Linked DNA regions of Oreochromis niloticus. The protein of the gene in region 2 interacts with the protein of the main gene of each other region in a pairwise test. Links are inferred from orthologs where the notes say so. Each region holds a gene or a part of one and is shown on either strand. Other genes may lie near its edges. The genes, in order: ncbp1 and rnf40.

Region 1 (16,108 bases), on a different chromosome or scaffold from region 2:
ACAATATTTTGGTGTCAACAGATGTTCCTTACTTGCCGAGTGCACTGAACGAGTGGCTGAAGGATTTGGCTGCTAGGTTGAGCAGAGTCTGCAGGAACACGTCGATCTTCAGAGGATTGAAGCTCTCGCCCTCGTCTGGAGGGACCGAGAAATAAATGTAATCAAAGAAGGGAGAAGTGTAGGAGAAAGGCAGAAGTGCACAGATGAACTTTTCATGCAGGACCAAGTAAAATGAAACAGGAAACAAACCATCGTCATCTTCCTGGTTGGGGTTGGGGACCTCTTTGAGGACGGTGAGGATCTCTTCATTAGATGCTCTGTTCTTGATGGCGTTACTGACGGTGATGGACATGGGGTAACCCGGTAATGAGGCTGTGAAGCAGCAGAGTCGTCATTTTGTTTGATGTTACCAGTATTTAGTTATCAGTCTGCTCCTTTTTGTTTTTAAGTAACAATAAAACAAAATGTCTGGCAGTCTTACAGGCACTCTCATCTACATATTTATATGTGAAGATGGGGTCAGCAGGAATGAGGGCCGAAAAGGTTGGAGGCACGATGTCCACTATCCTCTGGTGGTATGAAAGTCTGCGATTAATGCAGCAAAACAGAGAACAGCAGAGAAATTAGCAAAAACACAGACATAGTGAAATTGTTAGACATTAAAACTGATCATATTGGAGAGAAAATAAGTTAAAAAATAAAATATTTTAATACTGAAGCCATTATTTATAAGACATGATGTTTTCTTAGATTATGAAGTCAGAAATTCACAATGAAAAGTGATTTGGTTGAGCTAACTTTATACTTCTTTTTCCCCTCAAATTTTCTAATCCAAAAGGATTTTAAAATGTTTTCTTGTTATTGTACTCTCTTCCCAGCCTTACTTCTTCCCTATAGTGGCCCTGATACACCGTCACAAACACTTAATACAAAGAAGATAAACCCTCTCTAACTATATTACTACACCTGACTCTCGTGTCCTGATCTCCTCTACAGGACTGGAAAACGCAAAGAAAGCATAAATAATGCCCCAATACCTCATGCACTTCTCCAGAACCTCTTTGACAAACTTGGGCTTGGGTTTCTCTAGATCCACGGTCAAGCAGTCGGCCCTTTAAGACAGAGAATGATTTAGGTTATAATATTAAAAAGACAAAACGTATATACGGCCACTTTAAATGCTCCCAGTCAGTCACTCACCAGTCATCCCAGCTCCATCGGAACTGGAAGTTGCTCAAATGATGAGCAAACCAGTTGATTAGTCTGCAAAAATTAGCAGTGTGATTGCATTAGTGTTAAATGAGAGTCAGGAAACACTTGACCTTCTCTTTGTATTATTAAAGTAAAGACACAGAAACATTACCGGTCTATGCAGGTGGTGTTCATGGTGTCCAGTCTCATGTAAAGCATCTCTGTGGCTTGAGCCAACTAACAGGCAGGTGTTAAGGCTCCAATAACAACTTCTAATTGTTAAACCTTTAAAAATTTTCCAACTATAGTGTGTTTTGTACATATGTGCTCATTAAGACAAGTCAAATTTGATCTCCATTTGTATCCTTTCACAGACACTTCTACTCATTAAGCTCCTTACTGTGTTACAGTTAGTGAGTTCAAGTTAAGTGATTATTCTAAATTGCCCATAGGAGTGACTGTGTGTGTGAATGGTTGTCCGTCTCTTTGTGTTAGCCCTGAGTCAGGCTGGCAACCTCTCCTGGGGCGTACCTCACCTCTCGCCGTATGGTAGCTGGGATAGGCTCCAGCCCCCCTGTGACCCAGACAAGGATAAGCTGAAGAGAATGGATGCCCTAGAAGAATTATTCAATTTGATCGGGACATGGAAAATATGTGTTTCTGCATTTTCTGGTGCCTATTTTTGCTGCCTGTATTAAATTATTATGAAGAAAATGTCACAGGGACAACAGAGAGGAGAATCCAGTCACACATTTCAGTTGCTAACCTTTTAACCCCACAGCCAAGGTTGACCACGATAAACTATTTCACCAAACTCTCAGTGTCTCAGTAGTGAATCCTGGGGTTTGAACATGGATTACATAAGACCGAATGCTTAAATACTTAGGCCCTGTTAATCTAAACTAATCTAAATCTAAATTAGAGATGGCCACGGTTGTCTTTTGCAACAGTTTGGTGCATTTAATTCAAACAAATGTTCAAATATTTCAAAGGAGCAGTGAAAAGGGTTCGCACTAAAGGTTATTTTTAACATAAAATAATCAAGGATACGACTTGGGGCAACGATCCAGGCTGGAGTTTGCAGAGCTCGATCAGCAGTGTGGTGTACATGACATCGATGTGAGGCGGCGAGGGCAGCTGGAAAAGTTCCCCAAAGATCACCTAAAAGAAAAAAGGCAAAAAGCCAGCAGATTAGACTAAAACAGCTCAGCACTGTTTCTTTTTTTTGATGCCAGAAACAAGAAAGAAAATATACCTCGACGATGTGATAGTTGAGCGGGATCTTATTTTTCCCTGGGTAGCTGAGGAGCTGGGCGGCGCTGAGCGTTAGAAATAGAACAAGAAAAAATTAGTTTAAGTCTTTTAGTAAAAATTAATAGGAGTGACTATTTATTCACACATTCAGGTTTAAAAAAAAAAAGAAGCCCTCATTACTCACCATGTTTTCCTCTCTTTCCAGTGAGTTTTGATAATGCAGTGCAGGTTTTCCTCTATAACAAATCTCTCCACAGAATGGCTGCCAGGCATAACAGGTCCCTGAAGAGAAAGAGATGAGTATGTAAAAAGTTGCAGAAGAAGAGTTTGACAGACAGTGTTTTATCTGTAATGAACCTCTGGGGCGTCGGTGTAGTCAAACATGCGGAAGATGACCCGGGGCATGGGGTACTGGGCGTCGGGCATGTGGCCCGGTGGGGTGAAGGGGGGCAGGTTGTGCTGCAGGGCCTCGCAGAGCACGCTGTCAAAGGCGATGTAGGGACGAAGAATGTGACGCTCCTGCCAGCGGTCTTTCTTCAGCTTCTGAATCTGAGCCCAAAGGCAGTCCAGGTACTGGAGGAAGGAAGATACGATCCGTTTACTCAGACAAAAACAAACATTACTGTATCCAAACAGCAAGGTCTAGTAAACATGAGGCCATAAGGAGCCACTTTTACTGCTCTGACCATTGCACATATTTGCTGCTGTTTAACTGACTACAAGACTCTCACCTCCTCTTGTGGATGGGGTTTATCTGCAGTCCACACCTGCAGCATGGGGACATGGGTCTTTACTCTCCTCCTGAAAAATGTGGACGTAAAAATGAAACAACGGCAGCAAACGATGATTGCTTAATTAAAATCTAACCAAACCGGGGAACGTACTTGAGGTAGCCTTCGATCTGGCTGAGGAGCCGGTCCATCTCCACGTCCTTCTTCTCATAGAGCTCCTTCCCGACCCAGGGCAGACAGGACAGAACGACATACACAAACCAGTCCGACCGAACCTGACGACGTAAAAGAGACCAGTTACAGAACTTACTCACAATCCACCAGTGTGGACTGTGACACAGCCATGGGCTAGTGCAAAAATCAATATGTGCTCCATAATGATCACGTTTAAAGACTTTCACCAAAATTAAAAGAAAGAAAGAAACAGATAAATCAAATAATTACTATTTTAATGTAAAGTCTGACACAAATGTGAACATTACAAATTATTTAAATTGCTTTTGGGTACCATACAGCTTGCTTTACACCATAAACCGTCTGCCTACCTGTGGCACATCTTCCTCCTGAGTAACACTGACAAAGTTTTCAAACATGGCCACCATAGAGGGAGCAGCAATCACGTGGCAGTTGACCAAATCAGACAGAAAACGCACCTAAAGAAAGAGATGTCATTATGAAAAATAAATGCCAAAGTGGCCATGTTAATTAGTTTAAAAGCAATCTGTAAGATTATTATACAAAGCCAGCATACCAAGTAAACAGCTTCACTGTACAAGTTGTTTTTTAACGTCTCCTTCAACTGCCTGATCATGGCCTCAACGAACTCGCCCCCAAAGTTGTAGTTCCTGGCGTTAAGGAGGCCGACTAAGGTCGTATACACGGTCAGCTTCTCGGGCAGGAGGCGGGCACTGTCAACAAATGACAACATATGACGACTGCAGACACACAAAACACACTTGCAAAATTTATTAGAAATCAAAGGGTGAGAAGAGGTGTGAACGTACACAGTACATAAAATGCGCAGAATTTTGCTTTTGTAGTTTGGGAGGTCTGCCTCTAAGACGCCGGCCAGGCCCTCCAGGTTGCTCTCGAGGGACGATGTGCTCTGTAAGGAAATATTTTCGCACAAGAGCAATTTGTCACTAGAAGGCAATTTAACACAAAGCAAAGAAGACATATAAAGAACATTCTGGCATTTACTTTTAGAAGCAAAGTTTTGCACTGAACTTGTGAGGCTCAACTCTCTAGAGCGGAAAATGAAGCTACTCATCCTGAAAATAAAAATGTGTCCTTCCTGTAGTGTCTCCTTACCTTTTCCCCAACACGACATATCAGTGATTCCAGACGGTCTTCGATCTCAATCGGCTCCGATGTTCTCCTCCTCTTATGGGCTTGACCTCCTGGAAAGGTGAAAGAGTAACACAATAATCAGAGCCAGAAGAGGCTCAACCAGCTCCTGTAGGAAATATCTGTCAGTTTCTCTTAGCTAGTGCACTCTTAAAAAGAGATTTTTAATCTCAATGAGTCTTCTCAAAGTTAGGATGATAAATTCTCTGCTGTGTTCATCAGTTACACTGCCATTTCATGTTCAGTGGTTTTCAGACAGCACAGGACTATGAATTAAACAATGAACTGATAAAAATAAAGCTTTGTGAAGTTCAGAAAAGCACACTTACACTGTCATTTAAAGAATAAGAGCATTAACAAAACATCAATCCAGCAATTGAATTGAACATTTAAAGCGGACCAAATTATTTTTACATTATTTTTTTCTTTATTTTCTGTTATTTATATAAAGGTTTATTAACACTGTTAATATATTAAAAGTAAGGATGTAGTCTCGAGTGGTTGTTCGTTATGTCTTATCAAACCAAACAGCACTGTATCAACAGCGTTCTCTTTCTGGGATTAATAAGTTATTTTCCTGGTGTCGCATGCAGACTGCCACATCTAACAGCAGTTCTATACTTGCACTATAAATGCACGGCATAGGTACTTCATACTAGCAAACTCCTTTGAAATCTGATGACTTAACCTGACATGCTTCTTCCTGGAAAAGAAACTACACATCACACTACACAAGTCATTAAAGGGCTTCAGCCCTAAATATATATCTGAGTTGTTTTATAGATACAAACCCAATAATTCTCTAAGGTCTGCAAGATCTGGTCACCTAATAGTGCTTGAATCTGAAACAAAACTGAGTAATAAAGCACTTAGCTGCTATGCTTTTAACCAGGGGTGTCAAACATGAGGGCCAGGGGCCAGAATCGGCCCAAGAAAGGCCCCCATGGGCAGCTTTCAAAAGTGTCAAGGAGGGTATTAATTCTGGCTTCTTGATTGTATTTTCATAACTTTTATAGGTTTTTATACAGATAAAGAACTCCATGGCCACTGATCCTATGCCAAATTAATTAAGCAACAGGTGAACAATTAAATGACAGATATGTTTCCGTTCACTGTAGAAATGTATAATTTTTAAAAGACAGACAAAAAAGACAGGTTTTATAATTCAAACTGTATGTGCCACTGTATGCAGCTGTATGTGAGCCATGACACAAAATTTTGACATCTCTGCTTTTTACTACCATCATTGCTATTATTGTTGTTGCTATGAATATTACTACTATTACTGCATTTTTCCCTTCTTTTCTTTTCTGTTTTAATCTTAATCTTGTAAAGCATCTCGAATGACTGTAGTGTTTGAAAAGTGCTATATCAACAAACTTGCTTTGCCCATGTACATATGCAAAGTTACCGTAGTCCCAGATTAAGAGACGAGATCTGATTTAATCTTTAAGCAGACCAGGTCCCATTTAAATTCAGGATCTTGCGCTCTACGGGAAAACATTTGATATTTTTAGGTGATTTTCCCCGCCCATAAATCCAGATCCATAGTTAAACTTTCAATCAGATGTTAACACTAAATGTCGTGCATGTTTTGCAGTGTTTGGTTACCGCCCCCATAGTCACTGGCTACCCTGGTTAACGCCAGCTAATCCTGCAGCTAACTGCACCGGTTCATTTTGCGGCTGCATGCGACAGTTTGAGCACTTTTCTCGCTTTCAGTGCGCCACAATGTGACTGAATACCTGCGGTCATCAATGGTTTTGCACTTTTTGGATGTCGTTGATAAAACCCAAACATCAAACTAGTAAAATAACCCTCCCAACACTGCGCAGGGGACGCATGAAAAGCTCGCTAACGCCAGCTAGCCACCGCTGGTTAGCCTAACGGTGTGAATAATACACGCCGTTAACGTGCACCGACTCACCGTCGTTCTCATCGCTGTGCCGCCTCCTGGACATGTTTCACCCCGCTTCGATGTGAATGTAACAAAGCCAAAATATGTGTTGAACGAGAAACAAAACAATGAGTCCGTTAAACGAGTTTATCTATGGATCATTCAGCAACCAGCCGCTCAGAGAAAAATAAAAGCGGTCTGATTCAAGTGAAGCACATCCGGCTAACCCGGAAAGTGCACCCGTCTTTGGTGTCCGGAGTCTTGTGCTGAATTTTCTGGTGCACGTTTGGAGGATTTGTTTGTTTGTTTCCTTAAAATAATATGTGAGACTTTGTGTTTAATTCTGGTGAGACGGGTTAGTCGCTAATTATTTTAAAAGCTCTGTAAAAACACAATGGCGGCGGAAGATACACCCTGCTCAGAGTTTATAAACTGGGAGGTTGACTCTTCAGTTTGTAATGGATTCAAACACGAGAAGCAACTTTCTGCCCCACAAAGGAGATACTACAGCTTCTGCAGGAGAAAGGTGAGCATCAGGACACACTGACTGGAATCCCTGTTTTATGGTTCAATTGTTGGACATATATAACGATTATTGTGAAATTTCCAGATATTTCGCACATTGAAATCTGAGGCAATGTTTGAACATTAATATCTCAAAATCTAAGAAAGATAAAAGCCTCAAATTGTCACTGGCCTCTCTTAGCATCAAAATGAATCTGATCTGTAATCTGTATTTTATAGTTAAAATCTGAAAATACATACAAATTTGAGCACACTCATAACACTCACTGCAACTTCAAATTGCAAAAGACAATTGGTGACAGTTTACAAATTTATGAACAACAATATTAGAAAACGTTATGATCAGTTTTACATTCTGTAATTTTGTATTTGTAATCAGTGGTTTCTCAGCTGTGTGCTGGGAGTGTAGCAGAAAAAAAGTAGTTCTTCTTCTTAAAAAATATTGTTGTTGTTGTTGTTGTATAACTTAATAACTTAGGCTAAGGAAGGCTGATGCTAATATAAAATGTTAGGGACAGATTTAAAAATTCAGATGTCAATATGTCAACTCTTATTCTTAAATTTTTATTACAAACAGTTGTGCAGTGGTCACAGTCTTTACAGAAGGTTCTGGGGTTTAAACCTGCTGGTCTTTTTGTGTAGAGTTTGCATTCCCCCCCTGCATAGGTTTCCTTCTGGTACTTTGATATCCTCCCATGTCCTGTTTTACAGTCTGTAGTGGACTGACAGGTGGGGTGTGCCCCACCTACCTTCCAGTGTCAGCTGGGATAGGCTTCATCTCTCCCAACAAACCTAAGTTGGATAATATAATAATAACACAATAGTAATATATTGTTAAGAAGGAAGGGTCATTATTTACCAACTTTCGAGTCGTTTATTTTAGAAACTGATACAGTTTCTAAACTACTCTGGACAAATTTCAATATTATCACATATTGGGCAACATATGCACCAAACTGTGGAATACGATCACACAGCCACTGTCTTATATATAAGTCTTCTATAAAATCTTAAACATCTGTTTGACCATGTTAAAGATTTATCTCTTTATTTGTTTTTTATGTTATCCCCTCAGTCATTTGCTGCCTTTGTGGCATCCAAGAAGGACGGTAGTCACGAGGAAGGAAGCCCTTTGTGGTGCTGCTGCGGCCAGACGTTCATCGAGCACGCCGCCATTCACAAACACGTGGCCAGAGTGCACAATGCTGAAATACAGCAGCTCACACAGGACGAGTATGAGCGTTTGTTGAGCCAACTGGAAGAAGAGCCCGAAGCAGCGCAGGTGCAGTTGAATGAGCACAGTGGAGAAACGGTGGACGTCTCTGTGTGGATTCCCGATATCAGCCACATCTCTGAGGAGCAACTTAAAAAGTAAAGACAATCTGAATTCAGTTATTTCACTATATTCTATATTTCTAATCTATATATGTAGATTATTAATGTGTCCCATTTTAATTTTTGAATTTGATGTTTTATTTTTGTTCGTTGTTCTCTCGTTCTCTATCAGCGGTCCAGGCAGGGTTCTGCTTTACTATCACTACTGTCGCGTCGAGGAGCCACATGTCATCTGTGCTTGGCAGAAAGCTCTGTGTGAGAAACTCCACTTAACAGGCAAGGTGAATGAATTCTCCTATCTTGCCTCGGGCTGAGGAACACTTCTATGAAAGAGCAAAGAAAAAAGGCTTTTCTCTTAATTTCAGTGAAACTGTGCCATTAAAATGTATGTTGATCTTTTTCTTCAGGTGAGGGTGGCGACTGAAGGCATCAACGGAACAGTTGGTGGCACCAACTTGGCCACTGACATTTACATGGAAGCAATGCGTTCACATCCACTGTTTGAGATGGATAAGGAGGATTTTAAGGTCAGATTCAGATAAAGGGAAATTTTATATACCAGTGTCACCTCCCCCTCTTAATATTGCTTCATAGAATAGAATAGAATAGAATTCAACTTTATTGTCATTGCACATGTCACAGGTACAGGGCAACGAAATGCAGTTTGCATCCATCCAGAAGTGCTTTAGCCGTGATATAGATATATTACAATATATATTAGCAATAATAGAGATGTGTAAGTATATTACAGAAATGGGTCTATTATGGTATGTTATAATGTACACGGTATGAAGTATGTTATGAATATTCTATAACTATAAGTATGTACAGGCTGTAGTGAGTACAAGCTATGTACAGGCTATGAACAGGATATAAATATGAAAAACTATACAGAATATGAAATAAAAACTATACAGAAATATGAGATATACAGTTATACAGAAATGTGAACTATGCAAGTTATGAACAGTTGTAGGATTAAAAATTATCGTATGTACAGAATGATTATTTACACAGAACTATACAGGAGTGCAGTTAAGATAAGTGAGATATGTGGATAATTTCTACAGAGGCTATATAAAGTGCTAGTGGTTGTGAGTGGTGGTTCAGTCCATGTTATTATTGTGTGTTTGAGGGTACAGTTGTCCATTGTGTGTGTGTGTGTAGGTGGTTGTGGGTGTGTGTATGTTCAGTCCATGAGTTTAACGTGGGTCAGATGTCAGGAGGCAGAGTTCAGGAGTCTGACAGCTGTGGGGAAGAAGCTGTTCCGGTACCTGGTGGTCTTAGTCCGGAGGCTCCTGTAGCGCCTCCCAGAGGGCAGGAGGGTGAAGAGTCCATGTGATGGGTGACTGGGGTCTCTGATGATTTTCCCAGCCCTTTTCAGACACCGCTTCCTGTAGATGTCCTTTATGGCAGGAAGTGGTGCTCCGGCGATGCGCTGGGCAGTTTTCACGACCCTCTGCAACGCCTTCCGGTCCGATGCAGAGCAGTTCCCGTACCAGACTGTTATACAGTTGGTCAGGATGCTCTCGATGGTGCAGCGATAGAAGTTCACCAGGATGTCTGAGGACAGGTGGTTCTTCCTCAGAGTCCTCAAGAAGAAGAGGCGCTGGTGAGCCTTCTTGACCAGCTTGGAGCAGTTGGTCGTCCAGATGAGATCCTCGGAGATGTGGACTCCCAGGAACTTGAAGCTGCTCACACGCTCCACAGCCGTCCCCTTAATGTGGATGGGTGGATGTGGGTCATAGGATCATAGTTATAGGCTCCATCAGGGTGTGGTTTGTCCATAATCAGACTTTAAATGGCCTGTATTTGTATAGCGCTTTCCTAGTTCTTAAGGACCCCAAAGCGCTTTACACATCCAGTCATCCACCCATTCACGCACACATTCGCACACTGGTGATGGCAAACTACGTTGTAGCCACAGCCACCCTGGGGCGCACTGACAGAGGCTTTAAGCAGTTATTAATTTATTTTTGTTAATCTTTGAACATTAATGGTGCTGTTTTTGTGGGTTTGTTCAGACCAGTGACGGTGGCGCAGAGTGTTTTACAGAGTTGAAGGTTGGGGTCTACAAGGAGATTGTACCAATGGGAGTGGACCCTGATGTTATATCTTACCAGCTGGCAGGTACTATTTGTACTATTTGTAATGATACTATAAGCCTATAGAAATTATTAATAATGTAAGTTACACCTGTAGCTGATTTACTAACATCATTGCCTTTATTATCATAATAAGGTGCGAAATGTCTGCTTTGATTGCTACTCTGCAGCCATAGCTGTGCTCTTGTACCAGCTGCTGAGAAACTCTATGCTGTGCTTGTATATAATGTCAGGTATGTGTCTGTTTTGCCTCTCAGGAGTTCATCTGGAGCCCGAAGAGTTTCATAAAGAAGTGGAAGCTCTTCTGACTAAAGGAGATTCATGCAATGACACCATCCTCCTGGACTGCCGCAACTATTATGAGAGTAAAATTGTGAGTAGAAAATTCATTTTCTTTAGGAGATTGTTGACTTCATTCAAAAGTAATCTGATTAGCTTGGTGGTTTCAGGGTAATGTATGATCTTGGCTTTATCACATGACATGCCCAGAGATTTATGGTGTAATTTCAAGTTTTTTGTGCACCATCTACACAAGCTACCATGAGCAAATATGAAGGATGGGCAGAACACTGATATTTGTAGCTGGAAATAATGAGTCTGTATCCAAACAGAAAAGCATGACTGGGATCAATTTCATAAGCCTCAGTATTTTAGCCAGAAGCAGTGGTATTGAGATTGTGCTATTATAGAGTAATGTGCAAAGGCTGTTACAGTTAATAATTGCTAATAATTGCTTTTTTTTTTTTTTTTTGCCTTCAGGGGCAGTTCACTCAGTGCCTGGCGCCTAATATCCGTAAGTTCAGCTACTTCCCAGACTACGTGGACCAGAACCTTGAGCTGTTCAGAGACAAGAAGGTTCTGATGTACTGCACAGGAGGGATCCGCTGTGAGCGTGGCTCCGCCTACCTCCGCTTCAAAGTAAGCTGTTCAGTCATCAGTCTGGAAAGCTTTTAGTGGAGCTGGGTTCACTCGCTCACTTGTTGCAGGTTGCTGATTCTCCACAAGGGGGAGCCTTTTACTAGTAGTTTAGGTATTGAGAAATGCATATTTTTGAAAGGTTTGCATCTAATATGTTAAGTTCTTGTTCATATTTATCTCTTAAATCTGGTACCAGGATGTGTGTAAGGAGGTTTACCAGCTGAAAGGTGGAATTCATAAGTACCTGGAGCGTTTCCCCGAGGGGTTCTATCGTGGAAAGCTTTTTGTGTTTGATGAACGCTACGCCATCTCTTCAAACAGTGACATCATCTCAGGTTAGTGTGTAAACAGAGCCCATTCTCTCATTGTTAGAAGTATCAGAAAGCATCCATAAGCTCTAATATTCTCTTAATATACGTGTCATTTTTAAAAGAAAATAACAGTCTCTGTTTAGATTGCAGGTACTGCGGCCATCCATGGGACCAGTACAAGCTCTGCTCCACCCAGTACTGCTGCCAGCTGGTTCTGTCCTGTCCGAGCTGCAGACTGGACGGCCACACCGCTTGCTGCCCCACGTGCATGACCAAAGGTCAGGCTCAGTCCGAGGAGACCTCACATCATAAAGAGGAGTGCGAGTGCACTGACGGACGCCCCAGAATCCCTCAGGATGTGTAAAATGATCAGACTTCAGTGCTTAAAAATAACATAAACATAGTGTAAAATGTGTGTGACAAATTTTCAAAATAGGAAATTTTATACTTATGTATGTGGGAAATTAAGTCGGATACATTTTAACTAATGAAAATATCTGCTGAACCTGTTTTTATCATGTGAATATTGTGAACATTTTGTCACTAATGAAAGCTCAACTTCAACTTATTGTATGTATTAATGTTTCTGTTTCGTACTTTTAAACTGTGACAAATATTTTGTCTCTTGTGTTTTCAAGCTGCTTAACAAACAGATGCATCATTATTTAGTGCTCCATGTATAACCAAGATATGCATGCATTACTAAGATGCATGCACATTTGCTTTCCAAACTCTGGCTAGTGTAGCTTACTGAGAATGCAGTTGTTGTTTAAAGAAACCACAAGCAGTAGTGCATCTGTTTGCCTCGTGGCAGAATGTCCCTTTAGCATATGTAATAATAGATGCATATCAAAAACAGCTCCAAAGTATGCAGTTACATAATAGGTTCAACAGGTCATAGCATCAAAGTTACAGCAACAGAAGCAGTAAATGAAAGCAGTAACTAAAATAAAGAGTAAAATAAAGTTTTAAGAAAACATGATATGACAGACATGAAAGAGTGAGGTACCTGCCTGTTCTGGTAGGCCAGTCAAGCTGCACAGGGCTGGGCTGTGAGGACATGTCTCACTAAAGGACGCTGGGCCCAAATGATGCTTGGGGAATCTTTTTTTTCTAACAATTTGGTCAGAAACATGCAAATCAATAGCCAGATGGAGGAGGCATTCTTCATCCTGTTCCTACTCAGACAAAGGAGCAGATATCGATTCTACTGGGTATGTATGTGGACCTGTTCAGCTCTCCTCTCTATAAAGGCCCAGTATCTCAAGACTGGAACAGGATGTATCTACACTCTCAAGACTGTGCAAGGAGACATATCATGTGTGGTTACGCTATCATTCCTTTCCAAAAATAAACTAAAACCATCAGCAGGATATACAGAAACATCCACTACAGTATAATTTTCTCTCCAAAACCCCAAGCTGGAGATGATCTGAGACTATGCTTTTCTTCTGTGTAATACTAATATCTACCAGAAGTACTGAATATGTACTGACTGAGTACCACTGTTCAAAAATTGAATAAAGAAACAAACTAATTTTTGCCTTTTTTTTTTTTTTTAAATTTAAAACCACTTTATAGAACATCACATCAGTTACAATGTAGAATCCATGTCATTTATAGTTTATAAAAGACAATGTTTACATAAAATCATGACAGTGTTTACATGATATCACCCACCACTAACATTACTTACTGTATCTTTTGAAAAAATACAGCAATTTTAACAGCACAAGACTTAAGAATATTTAACAGAAGCAAGTTTCATTTTTCCCTGGTTTTACTACCACACTGTTCACCAAACGCAGCGAACCTTCACCATCTTATCCAGAAGGGTCACCTCTTCACCCTCACATGGAAGAAGTAATCTGATTGGCATGGTGATATGTTTGAAGCAGGTCCCTTGTGTAGCGCTGGAACCCAGTCACGATGTGTTTCATCCATTTCATAGGCTGGTTTGCCTGCAATAATACCAAATAATTAGCAACTCTATAAATAGAAGGTAATTCTGCAAAATCCCTCAGTAGGATGTTTGTTCTAATTTGCTATGACCTCAGAGTGCATCGCAAATAAAACTAATAGGCTATCCGGTTGTTCAGTGATGACCTGAGGAATCCTACTTCCGGGCCTAAAGTAGTCTGCGTTTAATATGGCTTTTGTGTTGTTAACATGGTTAATGTTTTGTATTTTCTTCTATTTAATCTCAAAAAGCTCCTAAAACAGTCAGTGATCACTGTTGACCTCCCTCGGCTTTTATTTACCGCTAATCATTTATTTAAGCTCAGTTTTTAAACACCTTACGATGTAACTACAGCACAGCCCATGCAGCAGTATATGAATGACTAACCTCGTATTGTGGATGGATTATCTCAGTTGTTCTCCTGACTGAAGTTTGGTCCTTTTACATCATCCTACCATGCGATTACATTTGTTCCTGACCACCGAGAACACTCACGTTAACTTTTATCGAGTGGAAAAAAATGTTAGCTTGTTTATATTATACTAACATAGCTGTGTCACTAGCGGTCACGTAGCACATCATTATATACCAGCTAGCCAAACTTCAGTAACCCTACAAACGTCACTGCTGTTTAGTTTTCTGTCTTCATTTATGTTGGAAGTGATAGCAGAGCTGTACGTTTGAATTTCTTTCCAAAACCCGCAGTCAGGACATTCTATATTGTATTTAGATGGAAGCTAGCGAGCTAACTTCCTGCTAACTTATAACACCGTTAAATGTCATAAATTCCATTTTCATGGATGCCTGGATGTTAAACTCAATTGTTACACCTGGTAGAGCAGAACACTGATCATTTTATTAAAGATGAAAGACTTTAGACAGTTTTTCAACTCTCAGTAATGCCATAGTGATCGTTTGATATATGGACCTGCAGCGGAGTTTAGGCCCAGACACGGCCAGTGACGTCAGACTGAACAACCGGATAAAGAGTGATATGAACATATTTAGAGCTTACCGGAATAAAACTGTCTGGAGCACACCAACGGATATTTGGAGATGGAAGAGAACTGGATATCAGCTTGTCTCACAGCTGCTATCCAGGCTAGACGCCTTTTGGTAACATCAATACACGAGCTGCCTCATGTTGCTTCCAGGTTGGGAAATAATGTAAAGATAAACCATTTTCAAGCTTATTCTCTTGCCGGTCGTGCGATCGAACATTGCAGCGGACCACACAGCAAGTACGAACCATGGCTGTTGTGTGTGCTCCTTTTTCGCTTGCGCTTTGTTTAGACCCCCAAAATGGCGGATCGGGCCAAAATCCTTTCCACGCCCACCCCCGTGACATCACGCTCCAAAGCACAAAGTGGGCGGGGCTACGATCAAAGGCTTCGAGGCTTCAAAGAGATGACGTCGCACGAGAAGTCTTAAATAGACCCTGTGTAACGGATGTTTAAACGCTTTAACAAAGACAGACTACATTCTAAGGAAACAACTAGATTATCAAACACAATGAACAACAGATTTTGGATTGATCCAGACAGTAACTGGATTCATGCCTACATTAATTCAATCCGTGTGCCAGCCCAATCTGATCAAGTTGTGAGCATTATAGGAGGAAATATCAATAGTGACCTTAATGTGATTCATGACTACATTAATACAATCCGTGTGCCAGCCCAATCTGATCTAGTTGTGAACATTATAGGAGGAAATATCAATAGTGACCTTAATGTGATTCATGACTACATTAATCCAATCCGTGTGCCAGCCCAATCTGATCGAGTTGTGAACATTATAGGAGGAAATATCAATAGTGGCCTTAATAATATTACTACCAACTCTTACCGTTATCACGATTTTCGTTTTGGCTGCTTCAGGAGTTGTGGATCCTCTTCCAAAATACAAACCAAAATATCAATTAAGAGGCCAAGAACTCAAAATAATGTAACCACAAAGAAATCCTTTACTCCACATGAAGCCAGATCTTTAGTGGAAAACTGTATGGAAGAACTGGTTAAGCGGGCTGTAAAAAATCCGGCAAAGTCATCAGTCCGGAAAAAGTGTCAGCCATCTACAACAGGCTTACCAACAACATCTGGGCTGAAATCAAAGATGAAATTGATCAAATCCCCTTCGAGAAGTTCAAAAACTTCCACAAGGTGATTTTCAAAGCCCTGTGTAAAAAGTTTAAAGATTCAGACTTAGTTATACTAGGCTTGGAATTAAATCAGCCAGCAATCTACAATATGATTGCTGAAACTTTCATAAAGGAGGCAGCCAAACTATCGAAGGAACCGAGTCACATACGTCGGTTTTTCTCATTTATAGGCCGACTGTTTTGTTGCACCAGGAGACAAAATGAGACTTATGTAATGTAGAAAAAAATCGTGATATCAACTGAAAACGTTTCTGGAAAACGAGCTGGAGACTTTAAATTGGTTAGTTTTAAATTATATACTTAAGATGACCCTTGGAACGGTCGCGGCAGATGGCCGCCCCTCACTGAGCCTGGTTCTGCCGGAGGTTCCTCC
Region 2 (16,480 bases):
ATGAAGAGGAAGAAAGAGAGAAATGACAGTGCTAAAAAAAGAAAATCTGTTTATCTTCGTTTCATTAGAAATTTTTACCATTTGAGAACTTTAACCCGCCAGCTTTCTAGTACAAAATCTGCAGTTTATATCCCAGTGAAAACACTTTGCCCTGTCTCCAGTGAACCAGGTAAAAACAGACAACTATAGACAATGTGCTGACATTTCAGCATTTCAGGTGTTAAGAGAGCTGTTGGTGCTCCAGCAAAGACAAATGCTTTTAAGTGCCACTAGACATGGATGTCCTAACACTGAAATTGGGAGTGCCTACTAAAAAAGGGCAAAAAATAAAAAAGTAAAAATCGCAAAAGAAATTCAAATTTGAGCACATGAATTATCAAAGGGATGGTGCCAGTAACAATAATCGTGACAGCTCAAAACATTACCTGCAGGTTAGCATTAGCATACTCAGCTGATCAGACCCAGGCCACAGCGCAAACTTTCAGTTCCTCTTTGGTCGTCTAAGATTAGTAGAACTCCTTTCTTAGGCAAATGCAATACTCACTGCACTACTTTCAATCTTAACACCGCTGATTGTTTATATTCAACACCGGTGGAATCCCCAAAAGCTCCAATATGGCATTTTTATAAAGCTTATGGTTCAAATATTTTATTAGATACAAAACTCTTAACATGGAAGACAAAGAGCTTAGGACGAGCTTCTTAGGCATCACGTTTTGCCGTTATTAACTTTTTACAATTTGGAAAGTAAAAGAAAAATAATGGGGAGGTAAAAACAAAGGTTAAGGTGAAGTGCTCTGAGAAGATTACCACTGCACTACACACGCACCTGTTTAGTGGCAGCGAGTTTCTTCTGCAGGTGCTCAATGGTCTCTTCTGCCACTCGTATTTTCCTGAGGGCGTCTTCATCAGCCAGTTTTTTGCTCTCCTTCCTCTCCCTCTCCTCGAGCTCTCGTACTCGCATCCTCAGCTCATCCACCTGGACCATAGGAGACAGGAGTTTACTTTGTTTTGTTAAATATCTGACCTACCAGATGCTCTAAAAAGTAAGTGAAAGAGTACAAGCGGAAAGAAAAACAAAACAAACCTCAGCTTTAGACTTGCGTTCGGCCGCCATCAGCTGCACTTTATCTCTTTGCTCCTTTGGCGCTGACTTATACATGTCCAGCAGAAGCTTCATCTCTTTCTGGGACTCTTGGGCTTTCCTGATTGGTTAGTGATTACATTAAAATAAACAGTCATGGCATTTTAATTAGCAGAGTGCTTCTAATTATGATAACAAAACACTGGCAGAGTTTGCAGTTCTTAGAGTAACACTAAGACTAGACTTCCTGCAATCTGCATGACTTCCTATTTGTTTTATAATAAAGATAATTTAAAAATATTCATCATGAGAGTAACAACATTTTAGGAAATGTGTGTTTATTGCATTTAGTTACTACATATGAATGTGGAGTTAAATAGAGGGCAGTGTACTTGAGTTCTACTCTGAGCATCTTCAGTGTGTCTGAGTCTTTCCTCTTCAGCTCGTCGCTGCGCTGCCTCTCTCTTTCCCGCTCCCTCTCTCGTTCTCGCTCGGCCTCCCTCTCCCTCTCCCGCTCCCTCTCTCGGGCTCGCTGTCTCTCCAGCTCCCTCCTCCTCTCCTCTTCTTCCTCCTGGTCGTCATCCTCCTCCTTTTTCACGTCAATGCTGTCGCTCGTCGTCTCCTCCAAAATCAGAACTCCAGTGTCGCCACTCTGACAGCGTAACTGTTGATGGCACAACGGTTTTACTGAGAATCATCGTCAGACACCTCAGAACAGACACCTCAATTAGATAATGTAAGTGCATGTTAGTAAATGACGCAACCTACCTTGTTGATCTCCAGCTGCGTTTCCCGCAATTTCCTCTTGTAGCGCTGCACGTCGCCTTTCAACTGCAGGTTGTGGTTCTGGAGGCTGCTGATCAAGTGTCGCATCTCCCTGTTGATTGGTCCTGAGAAAAAGATGAAAGCCCGACAGTCAGTGGGTGTTTTTGAGTTTGACTCATTCAGCACTCTCAGCTAGCATCATGAAGCTGTAAATGATGAGTTTAATCACACAGAACTGACACCTTGATACGGATGATATGCAATATTCTCTGCAGAGCTGAGAGAGGATTAGTTTGCTGACTGATATCTTCCTTAATATCCACTTGAGTGGATTCTTCTACTGAGCTTTGAAGCACATTAAAAAAATATAACAAATACAGTTTCATTCTCGGCAGACGAATACACACGCAAAACAATGTCCCTGACTGAAGTGTGAGAGTGTTTTGAAAAGGTACCTGCTTGCTCGTTGGCTGCCAGGTTCTGCTCAAATTCAATACGCAGCATCTCATATTCTTTGCGCACCTGGGCCAGAGTATCCTCCAGCTGGATGACCTCAGTCCGCAGCTTCTTCTGAAGAGACAGCTCATCACTCTGAAAGGTTAAAAACAGTGAGACATTATTCTCCATGTTTCTGAGCATTAATAACAACGAGTGCTGTCAGCGTTAATCTCGTTTAAGTGACGTTAACACCTTAACTGCATTAACGCGGCAAATCTCTGTTAACGAGTTACCGCGGATCGCCCCGTGCGTGGGGCTGCACGGCGTCAGCGTGGTTACCTCGTTAACGGAGATTTGCCGCATCAATGCAGTTATGGTTAACGTCATTTTAACGAGATTAACGCTGACAGCACTAATAACAACACATACAAGTTTAAACTGTAAAAAAAACAATACAGAACAAACAGACTTTCTGCCAGTGCACTGCAAGCTTAGGCTTGAAGGAGCTGCTCCGGAGTGTCATCGTTTCTCTGAATCATAAATCATATTAATGTTGACACAAACACACAAAGAAAAGCTCTGAGAGTCACCTCCATGTGCTCAATCTGTCGGAGATGGGCGTTCTTCGCAGTGAGCAGGAGAGCCCGTGCCTCATCCAGCTGGGTTTTCACTCCTAGAGACTCGTTGTACAGGAGGGAGAACTGAGACTGCAGACATTTGTACTCCAACGTTTCCTTCACAACCTCCTCTGGAATATTACGCAGGTCCATCTGAAAAGCCCAGATGTGGAGTGAGATGACACGCAGGGCTAAACCATGAAGATCATTCAAATAAAGAAGGAAAATGAAATTAGCCTCCTGTCTCACAGGTATGCAGATTCAAATACATTTACCTTGAGCTTCTCACTCTCCCTCACAGCCTCCTGGAGCTCCACCTGTAGTTTCTCCAATTCTGCCATGCGGCTATTTGCCAGCTCCTGGTTGTGCTCCAGCTCTGCATTGAGACTCTCAAACTATTAAAAAAAAGAAAAAAAGAGCACCACATTGATAAAGAAATGTGGACTTTTGGGGGCAAGTTGCATATAAAAATGTGTTACACAACACTAAGTAAAGATTTAAACATGTACTTTCATCTAACCTTTTGAATATTCAGTGTAATCTGGCCTCCAGCCAGCCCACCTGAGCTGCCAGTGCTGCTGTATCCTGACTTTAGCTGCAGACAGAAAACACAGAAAATGTGTCAGGAAGTAACAACGTAAAGTAAATGATTCTTATTGTGTGCATTTAAAAAATGTGTCACATCTGCACATGCAGTTATAGACAAACAATCTATTTTAACTAATAACACTTGTGTGCATATCCACATAGTTTGCATCAAAGTCTTATAGTGTACATTTAAAAGGAAAAAGGAAAAAGAAAAACAAATCTTGCCGACCCGGGCTTGAGATCAAATCCATGAAGCAAGATTGGAAGTTTGGGGTTAGAGCTACTTTAACTCACAAAAGCAGAAATATTTAGTTTGTACTTCAGAAGAAACATCTGCTGAGGTGACTTCAGCAGGTTCCTGTGCTTTCTAACTAAAAACTGATGATTTGCATAGAGATGGAAACTCACAAATTAGACCTGCAATCAGCCTACAGAGAGAAACAAAATCTGTGGTGTTAGATGATCCAGCAGGATACATTTGTCAAACTTCAAAGTAAAGCTTACTACAAAAAAGGGCAATCTGCCTTTCAAAACAACCACTCAGAACTTAGATCTTAATCCAATCCACCTCAAGTGCACACCAGACTTTCTAAGAATATGCCAGACCTGAAGCAGCTCTGTAAGGAAGCATGGACTATAAACCAGCAAAGATAAACTAATTCCAATTTGCACTATCATGAAAATATGTAACTAATGTGTTCAACAAAGACTCAAAAGAATACATTTGGCTAATTAGTTAAAGCGGATTGTGTTTGTCTGTACTTATGAACAAAAGCATACAACTCTACTTTGTAATTCTTCTGACATCCAATTTTCATGATCAGAAAACTGCTGTGCTTCTACTGATGCACAGCCAACCTTTGGGCTGTGCATCAGTAGAAGCAGCTGTTTTGACATGCATTGATGCTTACAGCCTTATCAATGTCAACTCATGTATTAGAGGAAAAACGACAGAGCCCACACCTAGTGGAAAGATTTAAAAATAAATATGCACACTATAAAAAGAAAGAAAGAAAAAACAAAAGGGGGCTGATGCAAAAGTTGCAAGGGGCCATTAAACAACACACCTGCTCCATGGCCTCTGCTAGATGTTTGTTAAGCTTTTGTTCCCTATTGCGCAGTTTCTCAATGTCCCACTGCAGGTCCTCCACCGTTGTCTCCATCTCAGTCACCTTGGTCTCTGAGCTGGTCACCTTGTCCACAAGCTCATTATACTGCAGGAGAGTGGGACATGTGAATAGTTGCTGCATCACTAAGAATTAGCGACCATAAGAAATTGTCTAACTAGTTTTCCTCATTCATTCACCCTGACACACTCGAAATAACTACACTTGCAAACAGTCAACGTGCATGGTGAGTCGCTTAAACAATACTAAGGACATTGTACCTCCATGGACATCTTATGGTGTCTCCCCTGCAGGAGAGTGGCTAAGTCTCGCAGTCGAGTGTTCTCGTCCAGCAGAGTGCAGTTCAGATTGATGATGTCAGACTGGCCGTCATCTTCAAATCCTGCCAAACAAAAAAAAAACAAAACAAAACAAAACAATACTGTCATTCTAATTTGGCCAAACTAACAAGTATCAAAGGAAGCACTCCAACAACTCAGTTATGATGCATTAAACTCAAGTATCTAGTAATTAGTTTAATGTAAACGATGTAAGATACCGTTGTCAGAGGTTTACTTACACTCATGGCCATGAATCTCAGGGTAATTTGGACTTTTGAATGATTTCTTTGAACTGTTCTTTTTTCAGGATAGAGTGATTTTGAATTTATTTTAGATTTTTTAAAACCACACAGGGTCAAACGTATCCATATCCAAACACACACACACCCACTTTAAATGAGTGTATGTATATATTTGATTCTGTATAAAAAAATTTAACCCTGTGTGAATTAGAAAAAATCCATATTAAATTCAAACTTGTGCACCTAATTTTTGACTTTTAATGTCATTAATGATAAAAAACTGGAAAAAGAACAGTTCAAAGAAATCACTATGATAAACGTATGTAAACTTCTGACTATAACTGTATATTTAAGTGTCAATAACAAACATTTCTCCACAGTTACCTGCAGCTTGGACCACCTTGCACATGTCACTGATGTGACTGTGCAGCCTATCAAAGACGCAGACCAAGCAGGCGATGGCTTCTTTGCTGAACTGCATGCGGTCCTGGAGGTGCAGAGTTAGTTCCTCCTCGCTGCTCTGCTCCAGAGTCGACAAGAAACCCTTGGCATTTTCACTCAGGGGAGGAGGTGGCGGTGATGTATCTGCACATATGTAAAAATGATAAAGTCAGCAAATAACAATTTACTAGAATTCTTAAATATCACATTTTTTTTGAAAAAAATGAAAACAGTATATATTGCTAGCACAGTGTGGTCCAATGTGGTACAGTCTGGTATAAACAAGCATTTTCAAATTTGTTATTTAAATACAAAGCAAAGAAAAAGCAAATCTATCAAATACAGACTGTGTAGACTGGGACTAAAGTCTTGATAATACACTAAAATTCTGCAGTTTGTAGCCAGCAGTACATGCTAACAGATGAAAGAAAAGCTGCAACACTTGCGTTCTTTAGCCCACTATCATTCCCCTTTGCCTCACTATAATTTATTAGGCATCTTGAAAAATGGTCAATACACAATAAACAAGAATATCCTTAAATTACAAGGCATGAAGTGCAGTATTGTTGCATAAAATTAGCTATCAATATAAATAGTAGTGACTCACACTGATGTAACTTCATGAGTAATGAAAGTCATAAAGATACACTAAGTTAAATTGAGAATGAATGAATAAGGCAAACAGATTACAATAGTCTATGACAGACGATTTGTCATTTTAAAAAATTGCTAACCTGTTTTTGAATCCGATTGTGACTCTGATGGTGTCAGTAAATCATCTGACCCAGTGGGAGGAGGGGGCTGCTGCTGCTCCTCTTCCTGACGCTCTTCCTGACGCTCCTCCTGTTGCTGCTCTGGCCGCTCACCCTCGTTCTGGGCCTCTGGCACAGGAGGGGGAGGCACGCCAGAAGGCGAAGCCAGGTTGACACTATCTTCCTCCATTGGTGTTTGGTCAGGGATGGTTGCTGAGGGTGGGGCAGGGGTAGAAACGACTGGAGGATCTGGCTCAATACGTTTACGCAGAATGCGCACGTTCTCTTCCAACTGCAAGTCAGATAGACATAGAAAGAAGAAGGTGTTAATTCTCTTTACAAGTTATTACCATGAGTTTAAGCCTTAGTACAGCTAAGTATACGTATAGCGACACTGCTTTTTGATCCTTCGATGTTGGCTCTTCCTATCATTGTGAAGCAGAATTCACCAAGCGTTGGATTGTTCACCTACCAACAGGGAACGTGAGCTGGGATTAGACCCTACTGATGATGTGTAGTTGCAATAGTAATCCTGCTCAGTACAAGAGGAACTGCAGGTTCAGACATTTGGTGTATAGTGCTTGGCTGAGGAACCAAAGGTGCAAAGCTACCATCTGCAGGATTATGACTGAACAGCCCACCGGTGAAGGAGAGCTGTTTGTGACTGGACTGGGGGACTGGGGGACAGCCGAACAACGGCCGCCCCTCTCCAATTGTGGACTCATCTTTGTGGAGAACCTGGTGCTAAATAACTTCTAAACATCCTGATAAACGACCAATACCTGTCACTATGTGTACAATCAGGTTAAGGCAGGCAGGTGGAAAACATGTACAGGATACATAGGAGGAGGAGCCTGGACCTATGTATATAACAACTATCCTCCTAGACATGCTGATCAATCTGGATGAAACCTACTATATAACCTGCCTAAGGTTCCAGAATTATCTATAACACCTATATAGCTGTTGGGAGTTATTTTTATAACACTCAAATCCTTACAAATTATAAAAAGATGACAATCCATCAGATGGAAGAGCTGGGCAATGCTTTCTTAATTTATACATGCACATGTGCCTGCTATAAGTGGTAGCACAAAAAAATGTTAAGATCTGTAATTACCAGATATAAGCCAAATTGGTTTGCCTCATCCAAATGCAAGCGTGCTAAAAATAGATTCATCTGACTGCTGTGTTTACATGAGGTTTTGATAAAATGTGCCAGTTCTTAAATCAGGTTAGAGTGGAAACTAAAATTCAAGAATGGATTCTAACAATATAATGAAATGCACAGAATTACCTGTGACCAGTAGCGATTAACAATCAGCAAGGTAGTGTCATCAGTGGCTTGTCTCTTCTCCAGCTTCTCAATTTTCTCTCTCAGCTCATCCTCCATCGCCTGTCTCTGCTCCAAGCGTTCACATAGCTTCTTATTCTTGAACTGGAGAACCTTCATGTCCATTTCCTCCTGTAATTAACAAACGCATACAAACAGAGAAATGAAATAATGAGTGTTAGGGATTGTAGATGTTGTCTGGCAAAAATAGATGACAGATTGTGCCTTGAGAACGTGATGACCATATAACTCACCGTAGAGGAGACTCCAGCTATGCGTATTGGCTCAATTAGCGTGGTGGTGGTCTTCTCTTCTTTCTTGCTTTTCTTTTCAGGTGGGCCAGGGGGGCTGTCCCCGCCTGGGGGACGCTTTCCTCCCCCAGCACCTGACATCTTTCCTTCCCTGCATTACATCAAGCAAGGCATGAAGAATTATAATTCATTCATTTTGTGACAGCAAAGGGACGGCGTTAGCCTTAAATCAAAAATGCAGACCTCTAATTTTAAAAGGTTCACTTTTCTGCTCCACTAGCATTTACATGCCGAGTTATTACTGTATAAAGGCATGCCTGCAGAACTACCAACCATCTTAATTCCATATTGCTACAAAGATTAAAGATCTTTTGCAAGCTTGCAGCTTGCTACCGCTAACCATGCTAATGCTACGCTAAGGCTAACGGACGGCGTTATTGAGTCAAGATTCCGAGGTGGTCGGGGTTTTTATTCATTATCCATCACTACATACACAAAATGTTCTTAAACAGTTATATGTGTGTCTTTTTACAAGAGAAATTTTATCATTACAAACCTTAACAACCAGTAGTTGAAACGTAAGTCAGGACATCAGAGAAGCAACAGGAAATATGCAGCTAACGCTTCTTCTTCGTTGGTTTTAAATATTCATTACAATAACGGGAGAGCATTAGCGCCGCCTATTGCTTGCAATTCACACAATGTAAAGATCAAGTATTCCCGTTGGTAACAACAAGTTGTAAATTAAAAAACACACTCAAAACACGGACTACTTCCTTGGGATACGGTGCTTTGAAGTGCAGCTACTTGAATTTATCTGGAGAGTGTATTCGAGACCTCAAAAATGCAAACCATGCTGCCACGTCCCCTCCGGCCTCTCGGGGGCGCTGCTGCGGCACACTGTAATAATAACTTCCAGGACTGTGACCAGAATGTAAACAGTGTTCAGGTGATAGCTGACTGCTGTTAACGCTAACGGTAGCTAATTTCGTTACTGTAGCCGCTTAATCGCACACGTTATGGCTTCACAATAGATTCCTCGACCCCGAGAGGGCTTCCTGATTCCCCGTTTCCCTCTCTGTCTTGTCGTTTGATTGCATAAATGGTGAGTAGCTTCCTGTTCGGTCAGTGAACCTGCTGCTGTATCAAAGCCATAGCAAAGACAGTTACATAACCGTTTTGATGGACCTCTAAATAACAATAGGTAGAGGAGATGTGTGTATATATAGAAAGTAAAATGCAAGTTTGACCTGCTAACTAGATTTAAACTAAAGCTAAGGGCACAATACTTCCTTATCAGGAGTTAGGTAACTAGTTCCTGTTTATTTAGAACCACTGGTACAAACTAAGACACGTGACTGTTCTTTTAACAGCTCCATAAGCTGTAAACATGACCAAAGACATCGTTGTTGGGGACGAATTACCAGACTGGGTGGGGGCCAAGGAGTTTTATCAGAAGTATGATCCTAAAGAGGTGATTGGCAGGTAAGTCAACCAAAATAGCCTGGGTGTTGTGATGTTGTGAAAAAGCATCCCCTCCACCCCCCCTTCATGATTTGTTTGTTGTTGTCGTTGTTTTTGCACATTTGTTACACTACATGTTTCATATCATCAATAAATTTTAAATATTAGACTAAGATAACCCAGGTAAATTCGAAATGCAGTTTTTGTTTAGTAAAGGTGGAAAAAAAGTTATCCAAACCTACCTGGCTCTGCGTGAAAAAGTAATTAACCCTCTTGTTAAATCACAAATTGACCGTGACTAACCACATTTTTTTAAAGAGAACAAACCACACCCAGGCTTGATTACTGCCAGACTGCTGAATAAAGAAATAATTTAAACAGAACCTTTCTGACAGGTTAAAGTAGGCTGAAAGATCTCAAAAAGTAACACATCATGTCATGATCTAGAGAAAGAGCTGAGAAACAAAGTCATTGACATCTATCAATCTTGGAAGAGTTACAAAGACAAGCCTTTGGTACTCCAGTGAATCACAGTAAGAGCCATTATTGTCCACAAATGGAGAAAACCTGAAAATGCGGTGAACCTTCCCAGTGGCCGGCCTTAACATGACTCCAAGATGCCACTGAAAAACATCCAGGAGGTTACAAAAGAACCCAGAGCTATATTTAAAGAACTGCAGGCCTAACTTGCCTCAGGAGCTGCTTTACTGCTTCAGAACCTCAATAACTTGCTATAATTGATGAAACAATGAATTCTGCACTCTACCAGAAGATCCAGAAGGAGAATGTACGGCCATCTGTTAATCCACTGACACTCAAGACCACACAGGTTATGCAGCAGAACAATGATACAAAACACACCAGCAAGTCTGAATTCTAAGAAGAGTGGGACAAAATTCCTCCACAGTTATGTGAAAGACTCGTTGCCAGGTATTGCAAATGCTTGAGTGCAGTTTTTGCTGTCAAGGGTGGCACAGCCAGTTATTAGATTTAGGGGGGCAGTACCTTTTTCACACAGGGCCATGTAAGTTTGGATAGCCTTTCTCCCTTAATAAATGAAATCATCATATAAAAAAGTGTGTTCAGGTTATCTTTGTCTAATATTAAAATTAGCATATTGATCTGAAACATGTAAGTGGAACGGGGCAAATGCTGTGCACCGTGTGTCCTTTTTGATCATGTTGAAAATACACTTTATTGTATGCTCATTGTCAGGGGTGTGAGCAGTGTGGTGCGCAGGTGTGTGCACAGACACACGGGCCAGGAGCTGGCGGTGAAGATTATCGAGATCACAGCTGAGAAGATGACAATCCAGCAGTTGGAGGAGGTGAAAATCTCCACGCTGAAAGAGATCCAAGTGCTCAACATGGTGAAGGAACACCCCTCCATCAGTACGTTGCTGTTCTCTCTCCTTTTGTTAAAGAATCATTAAATTTATCTCCATAAAGTTTGGTTAGTGTTAAAGCTTTCTTGTGTTTCATTCCCTTTAGTCACCCTCATTGATTCCTATGAGTCTGCTACATTCATATTTTTGGTGTTTGACCTGTGAGTATGAGGACAAAAAAACTATTAAACTAAATTTTTTTTACACTCCCAACCTGAAATTCAGATTTCTTTCCACAACATTTGTCAATTTGCTGTCTTTTGTTGTCAGCATGAGACGTGGAGAGCTGTTTGACTACCTCACAGAAAAAGTTACCCTAAGTGAGAAGGAAACCAGGTGAGCCACAGCATGACTGCACTATATCTGTATTAATTAATACTAGCAGCATTTTGCATTGGGCACATGATAAAGTTCTGTTTCTGCAGACCATATTCCAAAATATGCCACCCCACAAGATTTTATATAAAAGTTATCCAGCGAGCAGCTCTGCATTAAAGAGCTGCTGAATATCTAAATATAATCACACGTTTGGTGTCGCCACCCACTTTTAATCTCGTGTCACGCCGCCCAACTTAATCTCACATCAAGAAAGCGGAAGCCTGAAAGCTGCAGCTTTTAAAAAGAAAAACACTTTATCGACAAAACATTCATGTTTTTGGGGGTTGTTTTTATATAAAACTGCTCTTTGTAGTTTTGTAGTTTTTGTTATTAGCGTTGTCCTGCTGAAAAATGCAAGGCCTTCCCAGAAAAAATGTCTGGATGGGAGCACATGTTGCTCTAAAACTTGCATATACATTTCATCACAGATGTTGCCTTTCCAGATGTGCAAGATCACAGTCACAGTGCTGCTTTTTAGCTTTGTCACTTGCGTACAGAGATTTCTCCAGATTCTCTGAGTTGAGGTTATGGGAGTTCATATTATGTATAGTCGTCTTTGCAACTCATTGAGGAACATTATTCTGAAATTGCTTCACAATTTTTAGATGCAGGTTTTTGCAGATTGTTGACTCTCTACCCATCTTTATTTCTGAGAAGCTCTGCTTCTCTAAGATTTTCATTTTATAGCCAATCAGCAATGTTGTGTATCCCATGAATAATCAGAATAATCAGGCCAAAGATGATTAAAATTACACAAACATATTACACAGTGTTTACTGTGAACCTTAGACATGCTTGGACGAAATCTATTTAACAAGGATCTAATGTGTGTATTTCGGTTCTCTATAGGAGCATGATGCGAGCTCTGCTGGAGGCCGTGCAATACCTTCATTCCCTCAACATCGTACACCGGGATCTGAAACCGGAGAACATTCTCCTGGACGATTATGGCCATATCAAACTCTCTGACTTTGGTTTTTCCGTGCAGCTACAACCTGGGGAGAAGCTTCGAGGTATGGCTGTACATCATGAGCAGATCCTGTGACAAGTGTTCATCCATTATTAGTTTAAAACGATCTTTTCTGTTATAATCAGAGCTCTGTGGGACACCTGGTTATTTGGCGCCCGAAATACTAAAGTGTTCCATGGATGAAATGCACCCAGGCTACGGCAAGGAGGTCGATCTGTGAGTCTGTCTTTGTTCGGCGGAGATTTACAAACGTACTACTCCTTACTGCCATTTCTAACATTTGCATGGTGTGTGTTTCTAAGCTGGGCCTGTGGAGTCATCCTCTTCACCTTACTAGCCGGCTCGCCTCCGTTCTGGCACCGTAAGCAGATGCTGATGCTGAGGATGATAATGGAGGGTCGCTATCAGTTCAGTTCCCCAGAGTGGGACGACCGGTCTGACACTGTGAAGGATCTGGTAAGCTCATACAGTCAGCTTATTCTGTACTGTCTTCTGCAGCAACCCTAATATTGACATTTCCAGTGCAAAGAATAAATCATATTGCAGTATTTGCATCTCTTAAATCATTCATGTGTACTTGTGTAACCTTTGTGCTTGTGATACTCAGATATCCAGGCTGCTGGTGGTGGACCCAGCTAACCGTCTCACTGCTGAGCAAGCCTTGGCGCATTGCTTCTTCAGGCAGTACCAGCGGGAGGATGTGAGGCTCTTCAGCCCCAGAAAGACGTTTAGGGTGAGCCGCTGTGTTAGCCCAGCATTTTTATTGCCGCTGACTTAAACTGTCTGTGAAGAAGGAAATAACTTCCACATGCTTCCATGCATCCAGGTTCTGATAGTGAGCGTGCTCGCCTGCATCAGGATGTACAGCCGCTACCGCAGGGTGCGGCCGCTAACGCGGGAGGTGCTGGCGAGGGATCCTTACTCCATCCGCGGCGTGCGCAAGCTCATCGACGGCTGCGCTTTCCGGATCTACGGGCACTGGGTCAAGAAAGGGGAGCAGCAGAACCGAGCAGCCCTCTTTCAGAACACTGCTAAGATCATGCTGCTAGAGCTGGAGGAGTTTGAAACATAAAAGGTCAACCTCGTCGCTCAAAATCGCTTTTATGTATCCGTTTGCATGTGCTGTCATTGCAGTGTTTGCTCCATCGAGTTACTGTTTCAAGATAAGGAATGCAGGGACGGGGGATCTTTGTGTGCCTTAATGCGCATCATGGCTCTGAAAGTTCAAGATAAGCATGCACCACTTAATATTCCTTATCTGTTGTTGTCTGAAACTCCCTGTCAGGTCATCCGGTTTGCAGTGCAATTTGTGCAAGGTGTCCTCTAGGGCAATCTCTTTGGTAAAACTCATCATAATATATATTTAGGATTTTATGTGTTAATCGTCCGTTATAACTGAGTAGGCCAGTGGCGTCAAACTCATTTTAATTCATGGGCCACATGCAGCCCAATTTGATCGCAAGTAAAAGTGTTTCATAATAAAAATCCATAAAAAAAAAATCTTAAAAATTTTCCTTTTCTTTTAGCAGCGAGTACAATTATGTATTTAATAAATCCTACGTTAACTAAACATGATGGTGAAATTAAGTGTCGCTCTTAACGACTTACAAGATACTGCCCATCTTTACTGCATGTGTGGCCCACGGTGTGTGTGTTTGACCCCTCTGATGTAGAGAATGCATTTCTAAGCACTGTGTAGGTTAAGTGGAAATCAAAGCACTCAGATTAGTTATTTCTAGGGGACCTAGTATGCTCATATTGACTCCACTTGAGTAGCTTTGCATGATTCACGGTTTATAAAAACCCTTGTATGTCTTTTACTGCGCATTAGTGCAGACCTTCAGGCCACACTACCATTAAGCCAACTTTCTTCATTATTACCTGAAACTTTAATACAACACCTAACATTGCAATACTACAAAGACAGCAGAAAATAAGGAAAAAGCATAATAAGTCTCCTTTATTAGACACATACAGGTACATAGAAGTGCTGCGTTAAAGCTCAGATTGACATATATGCCAGTATTACGAGTCAGCACTGGGGCACATGTGTGAAATATTCAAGTTAAATGTTTGGCGTGTTTCTGTCATGTTTCGTGCATGCAAGCATTCCTCAACAGGAAACCCACTCAAGACTAACTGTGAACATCGTTTGCGACTGTAAAACTAACAAGCACCATTCCTAACTCAGTTCATTCTTTCATCTAGAGAGAACTACGTTTTTTTGATTTCCTGGAAGTGCCTGTTTGGAAAGAAAATCTGTAATTATATAAATGCAGGTATAAAGTATGTTGTGCTGTACATGGAGAAAAATGGTTTTATTGACAATAAAACAAATGTTTTAATCGTGCTGCTTTGCAGGAGTGCTTTTTTTAAAATCTACCGCATATCTAGATGGGGCAAAAAAAAAAGTGTGTTATTTTTTGGCTTTGTGGCTGTTCTGTGAGTAATCTAAAGCACTGTTTTGCTGAGATGCTTTTACTTTAATCCGCTGATCTAGTTGCCCAGACACAAGCGTCATCTGCTCTCTGACTTGTTGTTCTATCAGCGCCTTCAGCTCAGATGTGGCTCCTGAAAGTGAGGAAATGAAGCCGTTCCATGCATGACATTGCTTGGGCTGTGTTGGACTGTAAAAGTTACGCCTGCAGCATAACTGCAGCGCTGCCATGATTTTTACCTGCTGGGGCCGCGATGGAGGCTTGCTGTGTTTCAGGAGACGTCCCATCTTCCGCCTCTGTCTCATTCTCAACACCTGGTCGGATAAAAGTAATAATAAATATAGCTCAGTACTTTTTTTTTTTTTTAATATCCCATTTTTAATGCAACACATAACAAGGCAGGTGCTGGATTGGAGGGATGCTTTCAGATTTTTTTGTTCTCTTAATATTAATTTCCACAGGAAGTGAAAATGAGATTAAGAATGTTTTGCAAGAGTTTGGCAATGCTTGGTCAGGCAGCACAGCTGATCCAATCTCGCTCCAACCACAACTGTGCAAGATTGGATCACACATGTAGTCACTGCAAAGAGGTAGAAGACGATTTTTATACACTACATGAACCGAATTTCTGAGCCAGCTATACAAAGAAATCCATGCCATGAAGCTTCCGGCACACTGTTTCTGTACTGGTGATAATTCCAGAGAAGGGTCGGAGCTCTGCAGTTAAGTGAGCCAGCAGAGCATTGGCTAAGTTTCTGCGTTTCCTAAAAGCTTCTACTTTGCAATAATCTCACTTACAGGTGATAGTAGAATATGTATGAGGGAAGAAATTTTACAAAATGAACTGTTGCAATGGCGACATCCTATTACAGCGCCATGCTCAAATTCAGTGAGCTCTTTAGAGCGGCCCATTCTTTCACAAATGTTTGTAAAGGCAGACTGCGTAGCTTGTTGCTTCATTTTATGCATCTGTGGCAATGCGACTGAAAACATCTGAATTTACTTTCTTTCTTATCTTAACACTGTATGATTTCAGATTACATTTTCTTTCTTTTTTTTTGTCTTCCTTGTCTAACAGCTTTTTTTTTATGCCAAACACGTTTGCTTTTCCAAGATGAACTCTGTAAATTCTCTGTAGGCTCTTGTTCGTGTGTTACTTTTATCTGTTTTTGTTTATTCATTTCTATTCCTGTTATTTCTGTTAATACAGTATATGTGTGATATGGCATTGTAAGCCTACAGGCAGGAGGGTAAAAGAAAAAAGGGAACAGGGGAGAATAAAGGAGAGAATAAAATATAATTGCTCTCCCTCTCTATATGTAACTTTAATGTTACTAAAAACTTTGTTTTTTACCTGGCGCAGAAGAATCCTCCACGGTAGGGGATCCAATATCCGGCATCCCAGAGTAGCTCAAAGACAGATCAAGATTTACCTGTTTGAAAAATGGTGGAAAGAAACCTTACCTAAAATCACAGACTCACATTAATCTCTTCTGATGTTTTCATGAAAGGTTTAAAAAAACAACAACACATATATATATACATATACATATATATATATATATATATATAGATAGATAGATAGATATAGATATATGTAATTTCTTAATTGTAATTTCTTAATTATAACGTAATATTATTTATTTATTATAAATTATTTATTATATTATACATTATATTTAACGGTTTATGGTGTCATGTTTACGATTGCTTCTTCTCCTTCTTCTTCTTTTAACATGTATTTGGTACACAGGGGGCACTACTGAGAACAGGGAAGGTGCACAGAGGGTAACTAACACGGCTGCCCACTGCCACCCCTAGAGGCCATCGCCAGATCCTCCTGTCTCAGGAAAAACCAGGGCCATCACAGGTGACCCCTGGTCAGCAC

The links.
Region 1: the proteins of rnf40 (region 2) and ncbp1 interact in binary tests that used the Homo sapiens proteins (3 or more experiments, as listed by UniProt). The two-hybrid records come from large-scale screens. The link is inferred for Oreochromis niloticus from reciprocal best matches to the Homo sapiens genes RNF40 and NCBP1.

The regions. Positions count from the first base shown.
Region 1 is NC_031966.2:10,217,692-10,233,799, forward strand, and holds the start of ncbp1 (nuclear cap-binding protein subunit 1), read right to left. Parts: upstream 6,635-16,108; 5' UTR 6,485-6,634; coding exon 6,451-6,484; intron 4,577-6,450; coding exon 4,488-4,576; intron 4,282-4,487; coding exon 4,181-4,281; intron 4,085-4,180; coding exon 3,928-4,084; intron 3,830-3,927; coding exon 3,722-3,829; intron 3,452-3,721; coding exon 3,330-3,451; intron 3,247-3,329; coding exon 3,177-3,246; intron 3,019-3,176; coding exon 2,803-3,018; intron 2,728-2,802; coding exon 2,630-2,727; intron 2,511-2,629; coding exon 2,447-2,510; intron 2,353-2,446; coding exon 2,242-2,352; intron 1,429-2,241; coding exon 1,364-1,428; intron 1,264-1,363; coding exon 1,201-1,263; intron 1,113-1,200; coding exon 1,038-1,112; intron 586-1,037; coding exon 482-585; intron 373-481; coding exon 250-372; intron 136-249; coding exon 33-135; intron 1-32. Other genes in the region: tstd2 (thiosulfate sulfurtransferase/rhodanese-like domain-containing protein 2), read left to right, coding at 6,815-6,946, 8,021-8,316, 8,453-8,561, 8,688-8,807, 10,305-10,410, 10,643-10,758, 11,145-11,303, 11,500-11,638 and 1 more. UniProt on the Homo sapiens protein: Component of the cap-binding complex (CBC), which binds cotranscriptionally to the 5'-cap of pre-mRNAs and is involved in various processes such as pre-mRNA splicing, translation regulation, nonsense-mediated mRNA decay, RNA-mediated gene silencing (RNAi) by microRNAs (miRNAs) and mRNA export.
Region 2 is NC_031973.2:19,405,987-19,422,466, reverse strand, and holds the start of rnf40 (E3 ubiquitin-protein ligase BRE1B), read right to left. Parts: upstream 8,665-16,480; 5' UTR 8,515-8,664; intron 8,110-8,514; 5' UTR 8,100-8,109; coding exon 7,962-8,099; intron 7,840-7,961; coding exon 7,672-7,839; intron 6,667-7,671; coding exon 6,357-6,666; intron 5,767-6,356; coding exon 5,566-5,766; intron 5,002-5,565; coding exon 4,880-5,001; intron 4,707-4,879; coding exon 4,560-4,706; intron 3,500-4,559; coding exon 3,425-3,499; intron 3,300-3,424; coding exon 3,180-3,299; intron 3,058-3,179; coding exon 2,878-3,057; intron 2,441-2,877; coding exon 2,305-2,440; intron 1,975-2,304; coding exon 1,853-1,974; intron 1,749-1,852; coding exon 1,477-1,748; intron 1,206-1,476; coding exon 1,088-1,205; intron 980-1,087; coding exon 830-979; intron 1-829. Other genes in the region: phkg2 (phosphorylase b kinase gamma catalytic chain, liver/testis isoform), read left to right, coding at 9,349-9,443, 10,638-10,813, 10,913-10,967, 11,077-11,142, 12,034-12,197, 12,280-12,370, 12,457-12,610, 12,762-12,887 and 1 more; cfap119 (cilia- and flagella-associated protein 119), read right to left, coding at 14,571-14,725, 14,832-14,906, 15,947-16,025.